Oryctolagus cuniculus: one gene and its partners. Each later gene encodes a partner of the first gene's protein in a complex. Links are inferred from orthologs where the notes say so. Each region holds a gene or a part of one and is shown in the gene's direction. Other genes may lie near its edges. The genes, in order: TLE6, KHDC3L and OOEP.

Evidence for each region.
Region 2: TLE6 (region 1) and KHDC3L share a complex: the UniProt entries of both Homo sapiens proteins name them as parts of the subcortical maternal complex. The link is inferred for Oryctolagus cuniculus from reciprocal best matches to the Homo sapiens genes TLE6 and KHDC3L.
Region 3: the proteins of TLE6 (region 1) and OOEP are in contact, whole or in part, in a cryo-EM structure (PDB 8H94), measured with the Mus musculus proteins. The link is inferred for Oryctolagus cuniculus from reciprocal best matches to the Homo sapiens genes TLE6 and OOEP. Residues at the interface, in NP_444484.1 of Mus musculus: Trp256, Ser258, Phe304, Thr305, Arg306, His307, Val318, Asn320, Val322, Asn323, Glu332, Ser333, Asn354, Ser355, Arg356, Leu373, Ala374, Ala375, Pro376, Ser377, Leu378; in NP_080756.1 of Mus musculus: Arg32, Pro33, Trp34, Trp35, Pro37, Gln39, Glu40, Glu67, Trp70, Met71, Gln73, Gln94, Pro95.

What each region holds. Positions count from the first base shown.
Region 1 is NC_091447.1:59,668,988-59,675,440, reverse strand, and holds the start of TLE6 (transducin-like enhancer protein 6), read left to right. Parts: upstream 1-2,580; 5' UTR 2,581-2,877; intron 2,878-2,961; 5' UTR 2,962-2,985; coding exon 2,986-3,045; intron 3,046-3,513; coding exon 3,514-3,599; intron 3,600-4,876; coding exon 4,877-4,922; intron 4,923-5,903; coding exon 5,904-5,945; intron 5,946-6,453. UniProt on the Homo sapiens protein: Component of the subcortical maternal complex (SCMC), a multiprotein complex that plays a key role in early embryonic development.
Region 2 is NC_091436.1:99,180,456-99,186,297, reverse strand, and holds KHDC3L (KH domain-containing protein 3), read left to right. Parts: upstream 1-2,542; 5' UTR 2,543-2,727; coding exon 2,728-2,896; intron 2,897-3,050; coding exon 3,051-3,230; intron 3,231-3,496; coding exon 3,497-3,648; 3' UTR 3,649-3,825; downstream 3,826-5,842. UniProt on the Homo sapiens protein: Component of the subcortical maternal complex (SCMC), a multiprotein complex that plays a key role in early embryonic development.
Region 3 is NC_091436.1:99,171,708-99,177,065, forward strand, and holds OOEP (oocyte-expressed protein homolog), read left to right. Parts: upstream 1-1,892; 5' UTR 1,893-1,968; coding exon 1,969-2,161; intron 2,162-2,331; coding exon 2,332-2,514; intron 2,515-2,889; coding exon 2,890-2,969; 3' UTR 2,970-3,147; downstream 3,148-5,358. UniProt on the Homo sapiens protein: Component of the subcortical maternal complex (SCMC), a multiprotein complex that plays a key role in early embryonic development.

The sequences.
Region 1 (6,453 bases):
CAGGCGGCCCCGCCCCCACAGCGCTCCCCCCCCCTCGTGCAGAAGTGGAACCTGCAGGTGCACCTGCTGAGACGGGCCCGGATGGAGCGCCTGGCCCAGCCCCGGCTGTGCGGGCGTCTGGAGTGACCCAGCGCACGAAGACCTTCCACTCTCTCTCTCTGTCTATAACGGAAGGGGGAGGGTATGCGAGGTGTTGCCCCCAAGACGGCGAGCATCGCCACCCACGGACGAACGACCCCACCCCGCCCTCTGAAGCTTCCACACCCACTAGGGGCAGGAGCGCAGAGGGGGTGCAGGGCCCCCTGGGCAGGCCTGCGACCCCCGCACACTAAGCACAGGGAACACCCCCGGACAGGCGATGCCACAGCAGTGGACAGCCCACCGGGGGCGCCCGGGGCCCAGGCCCGGCTCTGAGGCCTGAGCTGGCTCGCTGCGCATGCGCATCCGGGAGGCTGGGTGACGGGTGACTGACGGCTCAAGAGCTGGGGCCCCGCCCCCCACGTGGGAGACCCGGATGGAGCCCCCAGCCCGGCTGTGGCCATCCAGGGAGTGACCCAGCGGATGGAAGACATCTCTCTCTCTCTCTCTCTCTCTGCCTCTCAAGTAATCCAATGTTGTAAGAAGCTGTGTTGAGACGCCCCCGCCACTGCCCCCGCCCCCAGGGACCCGGGTGTGCTTTGCTTGGCTGGGATGACGTCACCGTGGATTCCGCAGCCCCTAGACCCAGTAGCCGGCCAGGGGGCCTTGAAGACACCGGGCACAGACGCCCCCCGGGGAAGGGGGCCTGGGGGGAGGGGGCTGCGCGCAGGGCCTCGGCCGCCCTGCTCTGCCCCAGGACCCCGAGAGAGGACCCCGCTGCCCCGTCCTGCCGGCCCCTCGCCGGTGCCCCGCCGGGCGCCCCGATTCTCGCGCCTGCCCCAGGCCTGAGGGTCTCGCCGGGAACGTGGGGAGGGCGCGTGGCTGGGAACCGTCGCCTCACCACCTCCCTGTGTCCAAGAAGCCCAACGAAGTCACTTGAGGGTCCCCGGGACCCCGGACCCCTCCCCACCCAGGGACCGCACTGGCCTTTATTGTCCTTGAGTTTGAGCTTTTTTTTTTTTTAAGTATTTTTTTAATATTATTTATTTAGTTGAAAGAGAGAGAGAGAGAGGTCCTCCATCCGCTGGGTCACTCCCCAGCGCTGGTCCGGAGCCGGGAGCCAGGAGCTCCATCCGGGTCTCCCATGCAGGTGCAGGGGCCCGAGCACTCGGCCCATCGTCCCCTGCTCTCCCAGGCCACAGCAGGGAGCTGGATTGGAAGTGGAGCAGCCGGGACTCGAACCGGCGCCCGTATCGGATGCGGGGGGGACTGCAGGCCAGGGCTTTCCCCGCTGAACTTTCGGGATGTAGGCGCCTTCTCTCTCCAACCTTCAGCCAGGTCCCTGGTTCTCACATCAACCGGAAGCAGCAGCCCCAACCCCGCCCACCACGAGGGGCGGCCGCCACCTCCAGGCCCCACCTACACCCCCGCCTCGCGCCGGCATCCGGGTACCCCGCGGAAGGTTCTAGATCCCCACAGACACAGGTGGCGGCTGCACATCGGGCACGCACTCGGTGCGCCTAAGGAACAGGACTTTAAATTTTATTTAATTTGAATTAATTTTAATTAAACAGCCACATGTGCGGGCGGGAGCCAACAAGGTCCAGATGAGCCGGCGAGAGAAGGGGCAGCCAGGCCCGCGAAGGACGCCAGCGGCCGCGGCCCACTGCGGAAAACCGCCCTCCGACCACCCGACCACCCGGCCACAACCCCGGGCTGTTAGAGCTCCTATCAGAACCTGGGGGCGGGGGGGGGGGGCGCTCCGAGGCCTGCACCGCGGCCCCCACACGCCACGCTCCCCAGGGACAAAGCAGAGGCGCCTGGGTCCCAGGGGCTGCGGGGTGCGGGCTGGTGTCCCAGGACGGGGGCGTCTCTGGGGGCGGGAGGGCTGGGGAGAGGCCTTGTGCCTGTGTCCCAGGCACAGGCCGCGGGAAGGGCGCCTCTGAGCGGGGCGCGGCCCACACGCGCATACAGGCGTCCCCTGTCCCAGGAACGACTCCCATCCCCACCCCAATCTCGGACGCGCCCCAGGCCCGGCTCTGCACCTGCAGGGCGCCCAGCTCGGGAGCCACCCGGCCTTTACTCTGCCCCTGCAGGGAGTGGGCAGCTAGGAAAGGGGGCGGGGCTGCTGGCCACCAGGCACTATATATAGCCCCTCTCTCAGGCCCCGCCCCGACCCCCGAGTCCCGCCCCAGCTCTCCGCTCTGCTAGTTGCTCTTCGCCGTCGCGGGCTTGCAACGGTTAAGCGCAGGCTCCGGGTACCTCTGAGTGACAGCCGGGCCGGAGGGCCGGGGAGAGACGGCCAATCAGCGGCGGCGGCCGTGGCGCACGTGGGCAGGCGGCCTCGCGATTGGTCCGCGCCGCTAGGCGGCCGCCCCGCAGAGCCCGAGCCCACGTGCGACGCTGGCTCTGGTCGGGAGCGGACTGGGGTCCGCGGCGGGGGCGGAGCCTGGGCGGGGGCGGGGCCCGACGGGTCAAAGGGGCCGGGGGCGGGGGGAGGCGCTCGCTGGGGGTCTGGACCCGGCTGACCCCTGGGCTTCTCGCTCTGCGGGAGGTACGTCGTCGGCTGCCCCGGTTCCCGGGAGGGGGAGTGGGCTGCAGCCGGGCTCCCGCGCCGGGGCGGGCGGCGGGAAAGGCGTCCGCGGTCGGGCCGGCTCCCGCACCCCCATCCGCACCCTGGGAACTCCTGCTCACTCTGCAAAACCCCCTTGGAATCACCCCCCGCTTCCAGTAACCGTCGCGAAGTGAGGCTCCGCGTTGACACCTGCTGTGGGCGCCATCCCCACTCCCACCTGGAGAGTGAGCCCCCACGGGTAGGGGGCTCCGGGCGGGGCGGGGGGCTGGGGCGGCGGTCCCTCTCCGAGCCTCAGCTCTCCGACCTAGGGTTCTGGAAGCTGCCGTCTCGAAATGACTTCCCCGGGCTCGCCCAGCCCCAGGCGCACCCCCTCGTCCCTGGAGCGCACCCCGGTAAGGAGGGCGCAGCGCGGCGGGGTGAGGGTCCAGGCTCCCACCCAGCGCTGCTGCCCGGCCCCCGTCTGGTCTTACGCCCACCTGTGCGGCGGCACGGCCAGCCCCTGCAGCTGCGGGCAATGAAGCGGGTGGCCGCCTCACCTGGAGACGGGGGCCCCGCAGCACCTGGTGGGTGGTTTGAAGGGAAAGCCCCCTCCCAGCTCCAGGACACGAAGGTTCCTCACCGTCAGGTGTCAAGAGGATCGGGTCTGAGACCCCCCACCCCACTGGGCACAGCAGGCGACCAATGCCCCCGCCCCAGGGAGAGCAAGACACCGAGCAGGGCTGTGGCTCTAGCTCTCGCCCCGCCCCAGCAGGCCTGGTCCGATCCCCGCGGCCTCCGTGGCGGAGGAGGGCCCGGTGGGCGGGGCCTGTGTGCGCACCTGTCCGTCTCTCTCCCTTGCCCCCCCCCCCCCCCCCGTGCAGCCTCCCCCTGGGACTTCTGCCTCCGAGGCGCTGCCGGTCCTGGACGGCCGCGTCACCCTGCAAGACCTCCGCGAGCGGGCCCCCAGGTGAGGGCAGCTGCGGGAGGGGCCCTCTGGGGGTGAGCGAGCTGGGGGCCCCTGCCCCGGGCGACTTTGCATTCGCGTCTCTGAAAATCCTGCCTTCAGATCTCAGCTTTGCATCACTTTAAAACATTTTTTTTTTTTATTTATTTTTTTTATTTATTTTTTTTTTTTTTGACAGGCAGAGTGGACAGTGAGAGAGAGAGACAGAGAGAAAGGTCTTCCTTTGCCGTTGGTTCACCCTCCAATGGCCGCCGCGGCCGGCGCGCTGCGGCCGGCGCACCGCGCTGATCCGATGGCAGGAGCCAGGAGCCAGGTGCTTTTCCTGGTCTCCCATGGGGTGCAGGGCCCAAGCACCTGGGCCATCCTCCACTGCACTCCCTGGCCACAGCAGAGGGCTGGCCTGGAAGAGGGGCAACCGGGACAGAATCCGGCGCCCCGACCGGGACTAGAACCCGGTGTGCCGGCGCCGCTAGGCGGAGGATTAGCCTAGTGAGCCGCGGCGCCGGCCACTTTAAAACATTTTTTGAAGATTTGTGTTTTTGAAGGGCAGAGAGAGGGCCTTCATCCGCTGGTTCACTCCCCAGATGGCCGCAACTGGCTGGGGCTGGGTCCACCCGGAGCCAGGAGCTCCGTCCCGGCCTCGCACGCAGCTGCCGGCGCCCAGCCCTCCGCGGCCTCCCCAGGCGCCCTAGCAGGGAGCTGGGTCAGAAGTGGAGCCGCCGGGACTCGAACCCGCGCCCACAGGGGGTGCGGGCTCTGCATCTCAGACACTGCAGCCTTGCTAAGTGTTTTGGGTTCTGAATTACTTGAAAGCCGTTCGCTGGTTCGCTCCCCAAGTGCCCGCAGCAGCGGGCTGGGGGCGGGGTCTGGGCCAGGCGGAAGCCAGGAGCTTCGTGGGGTCTCCCGTGTGGGCGCAGGGACCCATCACCGCTGGCAGCCGGGACTGGAACCCAGGCGCGGGTGTTGGCGTTCGGGGCTCCACCCCTCGGGGCGGGGTGGGGGAGGGCCGCCTCCCGCCTCACTGCCTGTGCCCCTCCCCTCCCGCAGGCTCCACCCCTCGGGGCGGGGGCCCCTCCCGCCTCACTGCCTGTGCCCCCTCCCACCTCACTGCCTTGCCCCTCCCCTCCCGCAGGCTCCACCCCTCGGGGCGGGGCCCCTCCCGCCTCACTGCCTTGCCCCTCCCCTCCCGCAGGCTCCACCCCTCGGGGCGGGGCGGGGCCCCTCCCGCCTCACTGCCTGTGCCCCTCCCACCTCACTGCCTTGCCCCTCCCCTCCCGCAGGCTCCCCTTGGAGGTGACCGCACAGCTGGAGAACGTCTCGTACTTGGTGAGCCCAGCACCTGGCCTGCCCCTGCCATGTGGGTGCTCTGCACGGGTCCGGGGGCGGCTGCGGAGCCCCCCACGCCCGGGGCGAGCGAGCGCGCGCTCCGTCAGGACGCAAGGAAACGCCGGCCGCAGGCGTGGCGGCCGCGTCCGGCTGTCTATCGTGGCCGTTCCTGTGGCACCCAGGCTGCGGGCGGATCTCGCCACGCGAGCTGGAACTGCGTGGTTACGGTCGGTTGGGTGATGAGGGACGCGGCAGATGACTGAACATGAGCGGGGCAGGCCCTGCCTTCTAGAACGTTCCAGAATGTTCTGTATTCCCAGTGTTCACCACTGACTGTCGAGTCTTTGAAAATGCACCTGACAGGACTAAAGGACAGAATGGGCTTTCCGTCGCGGATCTCCGTCACTCCCCAGAGGGCCGCACGGCCGGGGCTGGACCAAGCCGGAGCCAGGGGCCAGGAGCTCCATCCGGGTCTCCCGCGCAGGTGCAGGGCCCAGCACTGGGCCGTCTCCCGCTGCTTCCCCAGGCCACAGCAGGGAGCTGGATGGGAAGTGGAGCAGCCGGGACTTGTGCCCATGCCCGTGCGATGCCGGCCGGCGCTGTGGGTGGCGGTGGTACCCAGGCCCCGGACCCAAGGCTTTAACGTGGCTTCCCTTAAATACCGAGCGTGGCCCGCGGCTGCCTGGCCGGACCGGGCACGAGAACGAGCCAGCAGGAGGCTGAAGACGGTTACAGCGCCCGTTGTCCTGAGAAAGGGGACGGACCCAAGGGCGAGGGTCCAGGGCAGGGCGGGGCCTGCTGTGGTGCCCAGCGCCGGGAGGGAGCACGGGACCTCTTGACCTCCCGCTGCAGGGGGTCGAGGGCACCCACGCCCAGTGGACAGGGTGGGACCCTGCGGGAGAGAGCCGGCTGGAGAGGAAGCGCCCTGGCCCCGCCCCCTCCCCCAGACCCCTGCCCGTGACCCTGGCCTTCCTTCTGCAGTTCCACAAGGTTCGACAGGACATCCGGGAACACCAGGAGCAGGTGCGTGGGCCGGCTGGGAGGGCTGCGGGCATAGGGACGCTAGGAAGCCTCCCCGCCTGAGATCGGTGGCTCCCCCACATCTGGGGGCTGCGTCTCCAGTCTCTCCCAGGGGGGAATCTCTCGGGGGTCAGGCTTCGTGCCAGGCCTGGGAGCTGGGGGGGGGGGTGGGCAAGGGAGGGGGCAGGCGCCCACCCGAGCCACAGCGCGTCCTGCGTCCCTGCCCCTCCCCCGCCGCCACCTGGCCCCTTTCTCCTGGTGCGGGCGGGACTTCTGGCCGTGCCAGCTGTGAGTGGCAGCGAGCCAGGGCCCTGTCTGCGAGTTAGCAGGGCCGGGGGGCCGGGCCGAGGGGGGCCAGGAAGCTACCAGAACGTGGTGACTCATTCACCAGCTCCTTAGCCACTCCCTGCTGGCCAAGTGCGGTTGTGGGTGCCAGGGGCCCAGCCAGGACCGCGGGAGCCTCCCGCCCTCGGGGTGAGGGGAGGCCCGCCCCGTGGGAGGCCCGCCCCGT
Region 2 (5,842 bases), on another chromosome or scaffold:
GAAGCAAAAGTCCTCCTAACATATCCTAGAGATCTTACCGTGCTCCACTTCCAGCCCACTCCCCACTGGCATTTTCCTTGTTTCAAGATTTATTTAGGGGCCGGCGCCATGGCTCACTAGGCTAATCCTCCGCCTTGCGGCGCCGGCATACCAGGTTCTAGTCCCGGTCGGGGCACTGGATTCTGTCCTGGTTGCCCCTCTTCCAGGCCAGCTCTCTGCTGTGGCCAGGGAGTGCAGTGGAGGATGGCCCAAGTCCTTGGGCCCTGCACCCGCATGGGAGACCAAGAAAAGCACCTGGCTCCTGGCTTCGGATCAGCACGATACGCCGGCCGCGGCGGCCATTGGAGGGTGAACCAACGGCAAAGGACAACCTTTCTCTCTCTCTCACTGTCCACTCTGACTGTCAAATATATATATATATAATAAAATAAATAAAAAAATCCTTTAAAAAAAGATTTATTTAAGGGCCAGTGTTGTGGCCTAGGGATAAAGCACCACTTGTGATGCCAACTCCACTTGGGATCCAGTTCCCGGCTAATGTGCCTAGAAAAGCAGAAGATGGTCCAAAGCGCTTGGACCCCGGGGCCCCCACAAGATGTCTCCGAGAGAGAGACAGAGAGAGAGAGAGAGAGAGAATCTTCCATATTTTGGTCCACTCCCCAAATGGCCACCCACAACAGCCAGGGCGTGGCCAGGCGGAAGCCAGGAGCCTGGAAGATTTATTTATTTACTTGAAAGGCAGAGTTATAGAGAGGCAAAGTCAGAGAGTGAGAGAAAGAGAGAGAGAGATCTTCCATCAGCTGGTTCACTTCCCAAGTGGCTGAGCTGATCCAAAGTCAGGAGCCAGGAGTTTCTTCCAGGTCTCTCACGCAGGTGCAGGGGCCCAACGACTTGGGCCATCTTCTACTGCTTTCCCAGGCCATAGCAGAGAGCTGGATTGGAAGTGGAGCAGCCAGGACTAGAACCAGTGGAGCAGCCAGGACTAGAACCGGCACCCAAATGGGATGCCGGCACTGCAGGTGGTTGCTTTACCCCCTACACCACAGCGCTAGCCCCCAAGTATCAAATTTTAAATGAATATTTAATTTATATGATTAATATCAACACATTCGGCATTTAACAAAGTGTCAATGATTAGATGTCCTCTTCTCTCACACAGGTCCCACTTCTAAGGAATGATATACATCATACGCGTGTTATGATACACATCAGTCCACAAGGGCCCAGCAAATGCCTGCAATGTGCAAATGTTGTTCTAGGCACTGTGGCCACACAGATAAACAGAAGAGAATTCCCACCCTCATGGTACTTCCAATACCTACTCTATTCTAGGGAGACAGCAGGGAAACCAAAGTGAACAAAATCTTCTTTGTGGAATTTAAAGCCTTAGGAGAGTAAAAAGAGACTATTAGATTTACAAATGTAGCGTGTTTTAAGTAGGGCAAAAGGGGGCAGAAGTGAGGAATAACTAATGTACACCGTGTTCTGAGATTGCTCTATAGAGAGGTCTGAGTGGAAACTTAAAAAGGAAAATACCTGAGGGCTTTTTAAGTTTGTGATTTATTTCATTAGGCAGAGTTACAGAGAGAATTTTCCATCTGCTGGTACACTCCCCAAATGGCTGCGATGCCCAGCCGACCTGGAGCCAGGAGCTTCTTCCGGGTCTCCCACACAGGTGCAGGGGCTCAAGTACTTGGGCCATCTTCCACTGCTTTCCCAGGCCATAGCAGAGAGCCGGATCGGAAAAGGAGCCGCTGGGACAGGACCCGGCGCCCCTGTGGGATACCAGCACCGTTGGCACGCTGTATTTTTCTTCTGAATTTTTTCTGAGAATAAATTGTCCCCCATGAATGAAGATTATGTGTTTCAATATTTAATTATAACGCCCAGCTGAAAGCATCTTTCAGCTGATATCGGCCAGAATCCGTGAACCTTAGCTCCGCTCTCCTCCCCACCCCCGCCTCCGCCCCCTCGGAGCCTGATCCCCTGGCCCACAGTGCCCACCCGCGGTGACTACAGCAGGTCACAGGGGCCCAGTCGCCCTTTCCCTCCTGACCCAAGCTGGCAGTGGCAAAGTCACAGCTCGAGATTTCGGATCGACAGCGGCTCCAGCCAAAGAGGAGCAATTACTCAACAACGCTTTAAGCCGAAACATCAAAGAAAAGAAATAGCGTCGTATCACTTGGAAAATGGAGGCAAAAAAAAAAAAGTTTCAAGGACCCCTCTCTGTTGTCGGTTGTGTGCATGGCATTAATGATGCATTAAGTAAGATACTTGCCCTTGCCGGAGCTCAGAAAACTGGGATACGGCGAGGGGGTGGGGGTGGGGGGGTGGAGCTCATTGGCCAGGGTGGGGAATTTACTTTAGCCCTGAAAGTAAAGTATCATGCCGCAGGTATCAATTCTTTTCTTTCTAAGCGGTATTGTCCAGCTGTTGGTCCCTTCTTTGGTCCCTGGTCCCTCGCGACCCGCGCGCAGTGGGCGGTGAGCCCACCCCCAAGCAGCGCGGCAGGAACTCAGAAACCGCCGCACTTGCGCCGCCTTGAAAAGAAGTCCGGAGCGGAGGCCGGGGGTCCAATGAGAAACGCGCCAGCGGAAGGGGCTGGCCAAAAGCCCTTGAAATACTGCCCCAGCCGGGCCCCTGCGCTCGCCGCCTCCGTGTACGCCTACCTCCATCGCCGCCCCGGGCTTCTTGCTGCGCGGTGGCCCCCCGCGAGGCTCCTGCAGCATGGCCACCCCCAAGCGCTTTCAGACGCTCGTGCAGCTGCAGCAGCGAGAAGGGGAGCTGTGCCAGGTGCTCGGGAACCTCACCAAGCTGCCCAACTGGTTCCACTCCGAGTTCCTCAAGAGTCCGAAGGCAGTTCACCTGGAGGCTTGGCTGGTGGAAGCGATCTTCGGTGAGTGCACGGGTTAGAGGCGGCCCGTGAGGCCTCGTTTGCCCACCCGCCCCGCATCCCTCAAGGCCTGGCCACGCCCCAGCTCCAAGCCCTCCTTTCGCCCAGGATCCTAGGAGACACCCCTCTGCTCACTGCCTCCCTGTTCCCCGCGCAGGCCCCGGCGGGGAGCACATCCCGCACGTCGAGTGTGTCTCCCACACCCTGCTTCATGTGAACCGATGGGACCCTGACGGCGAAGCTGAGATCTTGATATGTGGGCGACCTTATTTTCAGAAGGATGTATCCAAGCTGATCATGAACTTGGCCGACTATCACCGCCAGCTCCGGGTGCAAAGTATGGGCCCGGGAGAAGGCAGGGCGACCCCCAAGCGATTTCTGGCTCCAAGGGAGGGATCCTGGTGTCTCCTGGCTGCCAGGGCAGCAGGCTCGCTTTTCCCCTTGCCCCGAAGGGTTTCGTCTCTACCAGGGATCGAGAAGGCCAAACTGGCCCCGCGTCCTGGGGTTCCGGCCCCCAGCCTCTGTCCGCAGGATGACTTGCCTTTGGGAGGAGGAGGGTGTGGGTGACAAGGGCGCAGTCTCCTCACACCGCTCTACTTCCAGGCTCAGAGAAGGTCCAGGTGCAGGAGGCCGGCACGCAGCGGTCTCCAATCGAAGTGCGCGAGGCCGGGACGCAGCGGTCTCCAGTCAAGGAGCGCGAGCCTGGGACGCAACGGCCTCGAGAGGCTGCCGAGGACCCGGTTACCAGGCTATGAAGAGCCAAGAGCGAGAACCAGCAAGGGCTTCAAGTGCAGATCCCTCAGTAATTCTACTCTTCTAGGTCCTACTGCTGCCCTAGAAGCTGGGGCAGAACGCTGCGGGTGTTTTGTTTTCCCCCTCTGTGTTAATTGCGAGTTTAAGTTTAAGGAGTTCTAATAAAACGAGTTGCATTCCCCTGGCGTGCCTTAGTCGGAAGGTTACCAGGCTTGTTCTTCTAGCAGCCAAGATCTGCTTTACACGGCCTTCCCCTCCGGGGCAGGTGAGGCGCGTTGGGTGTCTGCCGCTCTGGGGCGGGTCCTCCCGGGTTGCGGTCAAGTGTCCCCTGGGGCGAGGGCTCTCGGGCTCCCTGAGCCAGCCCTCTTGGGAAACTGCAAGCCCACTGTGTCTTTTCTCATAGTAATTTAAGATGGGAAAACCTGGAGACGGCTTGCAGCCCTCCTAGATTGGAAGGGCCTCCTGGGCGTATAGCGGAGCTAACACCGGCCATTCCCACCTCGGTTGGGAGAGGATGCTGGGCTCGGCTACCCTTTCACCTCTGATCCCACTGCCTGCGTATGAAGTAGGATGAACACTAACAGCTGTGTGCTAGGATTGAACATTATCTGCATAATACTAGTGTTAGAAATTTTTTTTTCAAAGTTTATTTAAAAATTCAAAGCAGCTTAATTTTAAAGGTCAGGGGAGGCAAAGCGAAAAGCCTAAAGAGGGGTGAACTTTAAGCTCAAAATGAATATCAAAACGAATCATCAGCTTCAAGTGAGGCTGCACTCCAGCAGAAGGAACACTCCCTGTGTGCCTGCTGTTCTGAGAGTAGTACCCCTTTGACCAAAACATCAGATTCTCTGTTGCACCAGAGAGGTTGGTGAGCAGAAGGTAGCAGGCCAACAGAGCATTTAGGGGTCTGCCTATTGATATATAAGCCCAAAATTACCCTGTGTGCACACACACACACGGATGGGAGAGGACTTCGATGAAAGAACAAGGTGGTAGGACACCTCATTAAACATTCCTGGGTGGAGGCTGGAGAGAACCAAGAAGAAAAAAAGTTGAATTTATGGGCTGGCAGCAGGTATCTTTTGTCCACGTATGTGTGTATGTACATGCTTTTCCAGTATCTACCCCTTAAACTATGTTGCTTTATACAATATCCTAACATCTGAGATGGCAAGTGTTCAATTGGTAGTCAAGATCACCTTTTCAAAGGTTTATTTTTAGATATTTGAAAACCAGCATTAGAGGGAGAGATGGAGATCTTGCATCTGGATGTTCATTCCCCACATGGCTGTATCCACTAGAGCTGTGCCAGGCTGAAGCCAGGAGCCTGGAGGTTCCTCTGGATCTCCCAAGTGGATGGCGGGGGTCCAAGCACTTGGGCCATCCTCTGCTGCCTTCTCCAGCCATTAGCAGGGAGCTGGATCTGATGTAGAGCAGCCAGGTCTGGAACCAGCGCCCATAAAGGATGCTGGTGTCACAGGCAGAGGCTTAACCCACCATACTACAATGCTGGCTCCTAGATGATTTTTCCAGATGAAGCAGTTAAAATGCATAAGCTGGTTGAGGGAAAATGTATATACATATGGCTTCCAAAGTTCCTGGTTTTGTTCGAACATTAGAGCTCACGATATACTTACATGAATCGGTGTATTTTGCCAGTTAAGAGGATGGTCTTTGGTCTAGCAGTTAAGCTGCTGCTTAAGGACACCCCCATATCAGTCTCTGGGTTTGGTTCGTGCCTGCTTACCCCCACCACCTTCTCTCAAATGGGATTTTTTAATCATTAAAAAATGGGAGGGAGGTGTAGGCCTTTAGGGGTTAGGAAAACTACATCTCAGGGCCAGCGCCAGCATCCCATATGGGCACCGGTTCGGGTCCTGGCTGCTCTACTTCCAACCCAGCCTTCGAATCAGCTCAGCTCCAGCCATCGCAGCTGTCTGGGGAGTAAACCAGTGGAAAGATCTGTTTCTACCTAATTCTTTCAAGCAAATAAATCTTTTAAAAAAGCAGTATACATCTCACATATTGAGTGCCTAGGTAAGATTCTATACAGTACTGATCCAGGGAGGCAGCAGTGTGGCTCAATCAGGTTCCTGCTACCCTTGTGGGAAGCAAACTCCTGGCTTTGGTTCTTGGCCTGGCCCAGGTTATTTCAGTGATTTGGGGAATCAATCAGTAAATGTTTTAATTTTTTTT
Region 3 (5,358 bases), on another chromosome or scaffold:
ACTATAAAGACTTCTGTCCATCAAAAGACACCATAAGAAAATGAAAAGACAAGTTAAATGGTAAGGAGAGATTCATAATATACACAGTTGAAAAAGGAGTAGTAAAGACTGCAGGAAAATGCTTGTATATGAAACAGGAACCTTCACATATTTATATCATCAACACTTTTTTTAAAAACAATATGCAGGCATTACATTGATTTTTAAAAATTATACAGAAGTAAATACCACTAAAATTAGATTATCTCCACTCAATATTTTTATTGTTTTTAAGAATACATAATATTATTTATTTGAAAGGCAGAGTTAGAGAGAAAGAGAGAGGGAGATAGAGAGAGAATGTTTTCAACTGCTGATTTACTTCCCAAAAGACAGCAACAGCTGGGGCTAGGCCAGGACAAAGCCAGGAGCCCATAACTTCCTTCAGTTCTCCCACGTGGGTAGCAAGGGCCTGAGCACTTGGGCCATCTTCCAGAGCTTTCCCAGGCTACATTAGCAGGGAGCTGGATGGGAGGTGGAGCAGCCAGGCTTTAACAGGCGTCCATACAGAATGCTGGCATTGCAGGTGGAGGCTTAACCTACTATGCCACAATGCCTGCCCGATATTATCTATAGATGACAACTGCAGCCTAGAGCCCTCTGGATGAGGGATTCAGCGCATTAATAATAGTACCTTTTCTTATATAAGTGATAGAACATTTCCATATAAAAGATTAAAAAAAAACACAGCTAATTATAAGAGTTTTTATAGCAGATGTGATGAGTATCTATTCTAAAACTGCTGAACAATTCTAGAAATGTAATAGAAAATGTGTAAGAACTGGGCTTACGTTGTGTCCCAGCAGGTTAAGCCACTAGCTTAGCCACCAGCATCCCATATGAGTGCTGATTCAAGTCCTGGCTGCTCCACTTTCCATCCAGCTCCCTGCTAATGCACTTTGAGATAGAAGGGAAGATGACCTAATTGCATCCATGTGGGAGACCTGGATGGAGCTCCTGACACCTGGCTTCTGGTTGACCCAACCCCACCTGTTGTGGCCATTTGGGGCGTGAACCAGTGGATGATCTTTCTGTCTCTATAATTCTGCTTTTCAAATAAATAAATAAATCTTAAACAGAAACAAAAACAAACAAACAAAACCACGACACTGAATGATTTTTGAAATGGCAACCATCCAGAGTCCTACGATAACAAGGAGCACACAAGAAAACCTTAAATTCGAGCTTGCCCAGGGCCTGACCTGTCTTTGGAAGGTAACTACGCAAATCTTAACGCAGGCTCTTAAGGTGAGTCCCAGTCAACAAGGTTAACAATCCAAACTGTTAATCAGGTATGAGTTAGGGCTGGGACCTTTTTTTTGACAGGCAGAGTGGAGAGAGAGAGAGAGAGAGAGAGAGAGAGAGAGAGAGAGAGAAAGAGAGAGAAAGGTCTTCCTTTGCCGTTGGTTCACCCTCCAATGGCTGCCGCGGCCGCCGCGCTGTGGCCGGCGCACCACGCTGATCCGAAGGCAGGAGCCAGGTGCCTCTCCTGGTCTCCCATGGGGTGCAGGGCCCAAGAACTTGGGTCATCCTCCACTGCACACCCGGGCCACAGCAGAGAGCTGGCCTGGAAGAGGAGCAACCGGGACAGAATCCGGAGCCCCAACTGGGACTAGAACCCGGTGTGCCGCAAGGCGGAGGATTAGCCTAGTGAGCTGCGGCGCCGGCCTAGACTGTGAAACCTTAAACTGCAGAGATGATGACCAAGCGAGCGTGCCTGAGACCCAAATGGATCTCAAACCAATACTAATTTCAGGTGGAAGAAGTCTGGGGCCAGAGTGCCTTGCGCAGACTCACTCCGAACTGGGCGGGCGTGCTGCTGCCGGGTGGGCGGGGCTGACCTGGGCCATAAAAGAGCCCGCGTGGCCTGCCGGGTCTGGAGCAAGGTTCCGGTGGTTGGTGCGAACGGTTTCAGCTGCTGCTCTCAACATGGACACGGACGTTGGAGCTGCTGAGGCCCGGCAGCACCCATTGAAGCTGACCCGCCCAGAGGACCTACTTAGGTTTCCACATCCACTGCCGCCCCCGCGCATTCACATCCGGCCGTGGTGGTTTCCGGTGCAGGAACTGGAAGACCCCGCGGTGTTCTACCTGGAGGCATGGGTGGCGGACTTGATCTTTGGTGAGCTGCTAGTGCGACTCCAGTCTGAGAGGCTCGAGCCACTCCCGGGCCTCTTTCCGGGGTGCTCTGGCTCTGTGGGTGGCTCATCCCTTCCCGGGCCATCTTTACCTTCACATCTAGCTCCTTCTGATCTGACCATGACTCCACTTGCTCTCCCCTTACTTGTTTAGGCCCAGACCGCGCCATGATTCCGGAAATGGAGTGGATGAGCCAGGCCCTGTTGAGGGTGGACCCAGTGGACTCCGGGAATTTAGTGGAAATCACGGTCCACGCACGGCCCCGTGTGCAGAACCGGGTGAAGAGCATTCTCCTGAGCCTGGCGTCATGGCACCGAGAACGTCGTGTGGCGCGAGGTGAGGCTGTTGGAGAAGCTGCAGGCGGAGGAAGCCTCTGGCTTTGCTCAGCTCCCTTCCAGCCTCCTGTAGCTATCAGTACTTACTGCCATTCCCAAACCCCAGAAGCTGCCCGCAGACCCAGGGGGTCCTTTTGGGGGGGGGGGTGCACGTAGGACCTAGGGAAGGTAAGCAAAGATCTGATGCATTCAAGCTTCTTATTGCCCAAGTCAGCCTTCGCTAGGCTGCTTCCCTGTTGCCAGACGGCACGTTCAGAGCCTTCACCTCTCCCCACTTTGCCAGATGCACCGCCCTCGTCTCCTGTATGCACGGAGCACGTGGGAACAGCCGACATTTTCCCTTGCCTGTGGTTGATATCCATTGCTTCTCTTCCAGCGGAGAAGATGAAGCACCTTGAGGAGTTCCTGAAGACTCGTTCATCGGGGCCGGACGCTCCCCTGCATCTCGATACTTAGAGCACAGGACTACGGCCAGGAGCAGAGCATTAGAACAGCCTTGCTTTTTCTAAACTTGGAGAGAAGCAGGTGACCCTAATCCCTACATTCCTTTTTCCTGTGACTTGACAGTACTTCTGATGTGAATGTGCATTTGTAGAGATATTCGAATAAATGGACTTTTTTTGTCCAATGACATAAACTTTTGCTTACTTAAATCTATAAAAGGTTGAGTGTTTATCTGACATGAGGGGTGGGTAGAAGGCTGGCAGGAGGTGGGTTTTTTTCCCCTCTTATTTTGAAACTTAGGGTTTTTTTTTTTTTTTTTTTTTGAGATAGGTCATCAATTTGAGAGCTCGTTAAAATAGTTCCCTAGGCTCTTCCTATTCTAAAAATTTGGAAGGCAGAGTGATAGGAAAAGGCAGAGATGGATCTTTTTTTCCTTTTTAAAGATTTATTTATTTGAAAGTCAAGAGTTAGGAGGCAGAGAGGTCTTCCATCTGCTGGATCACTTCCCAGATGGCTGCTACGGCCGGAGCTGCGCTGATCTGAAGCCAGCAGCCAGGAGCTTCTTCCGGGTTTCCCACGTGGGTGCTGGGGCCCAAGGACTTCGGCCATCTTCCCCTGCTTTCCCAGGCCATAGAGAGCTGGATCGGAAGTGGAGCAGCTGGATCTCAAACAGGCGTCCATATGGGAATGCGGGCGCTTCAGGCCAGGGTGTTAACCTGCTGCACTACAGCACCAGCCTCTAGAGATGGATTTTATATTCACTGGCTAACTTCCCAAATGGCTGAGGTTAAGCCAGAAACCTGCCTGGAAGAAACTCTAGGCTCCTGGCTTCAGATTGGCCCTTTAGAGAATGGATCAGTGGATGGAAGATCTCTGTGCCTCTTTGTCTCTGTAACTCTGCCTTTCAAATCTTAAAAATGGAGTTAGCACTCCAGTATGGATTGCCGGTGTCAGACAACAGCTTAACCAGTTGCACAACAACGCTGGCCCCCTTTGTCCAGTGATGCTGACTCAAGATGTGGTTAAGGTCTGTTAACTTCTACTTTTAAGACGGACTTGAAAGTTAGAGGGAGAGACAGAGTCCATCTGCTGGTTCACTCCCCAGATGGCTGAGCCATGCAGGAGCCAGGAGCCCCTTCTGGGTTTCCCTTGTGGGTGGCAGGGATCCAAATGCTTGGGCCATTCTCCAATGCTTTTTCCCAGGTCATTAGCAGGGAGCTGGATGGGAAGTGGAACAGCCAGGACTAGAACTGGCGTCCATCTGGGATGACTGTACTGCAGGCGGAGGATTAACCTGCACCACAGCACTGACCCCTAATTTGTATTTCTAACAAACTTGTGTGTAAGACCAAAGCAACTCTGAGGTTCTCACTTCAACCCTGGTAGTCTGCCCCTCAGATCACCAGGTGTGCCTTTTTCTGAGTGGTGCCTCCTGCATTGCATGTGAGTTGCTCTCCCCCACACAGGCCTAGCCTAGACTACCAGCATTTATGATGGCACTAAGTTTCACCACTGAAAAGCCAGGGTGGCGGGCCCCTTGGCCGACCAGAGGGTGCCCTGCATTGGAGCTGGCTGTTTCCTTGCTCTTGTTGCACAGGTATTCCTTGGGGGCTGAGTAGTTTTCCTTACCCATTCAGTGATGACCAATCTGCAAAAGAGCTCCTACCCTCACCAGCACAGCTTTGAAGAGCCAGAATTTTTTTTTGACAGGCAGAGTGGACAGAGAAAAGGTCTTCCTTTTGCCGTTGGTTCAACCTCCAATGGCCGCCGCGGCCGGCGTACCGCGCTGATCCGATGGCAGGAGCCAGGTGCTTCTCCTGGTCTCCCATGCGGGTACAGGGCCCAAGCACCTGGGTCATCCTCCACTGCACTCCCGGGCCACAGCAGAGAGCTGGCCTGGAAGGGGGGCAACCGGGACAGAATCCGGTGCCCCGACCAGGACTAGAACCCCGTGTGCCAGCGCTGCAAGGCGGAGGATTAGCCTAGTGAGCTGCTGCGCCGGCCAAGAGCCAGAATTCTTGAGGCAAGGTGTCAAGAACTGACTTCAAAAAAGTTAGGGTAATCTTGACTCATGCAATTTCTTCATCCCTTGCCAATAATGGCGGTCTAGCCCTTTGCAAGAATTTTATACTTGAATTTTTCATGTAAACAATTAAATTTTATTACCAACATATTCCACCTTGTTAAATTTTTTGCACCTGATTTTTATTTAATGTAGTTAATGACCTCTCTGCTCTTCCCACATCCCCACTCTTTAATATCAAGCCTAGAAGCAGCTGCTTTCTTTCATGTTGAACTTTCATAAATATTCAAGTTTTTCTTGGTGGGAATTTTTACAAAATCATGGCTTATTATAACTTATGTCAGGGCAGGCGCTAGGCACAATGGCTAAGATGCTACT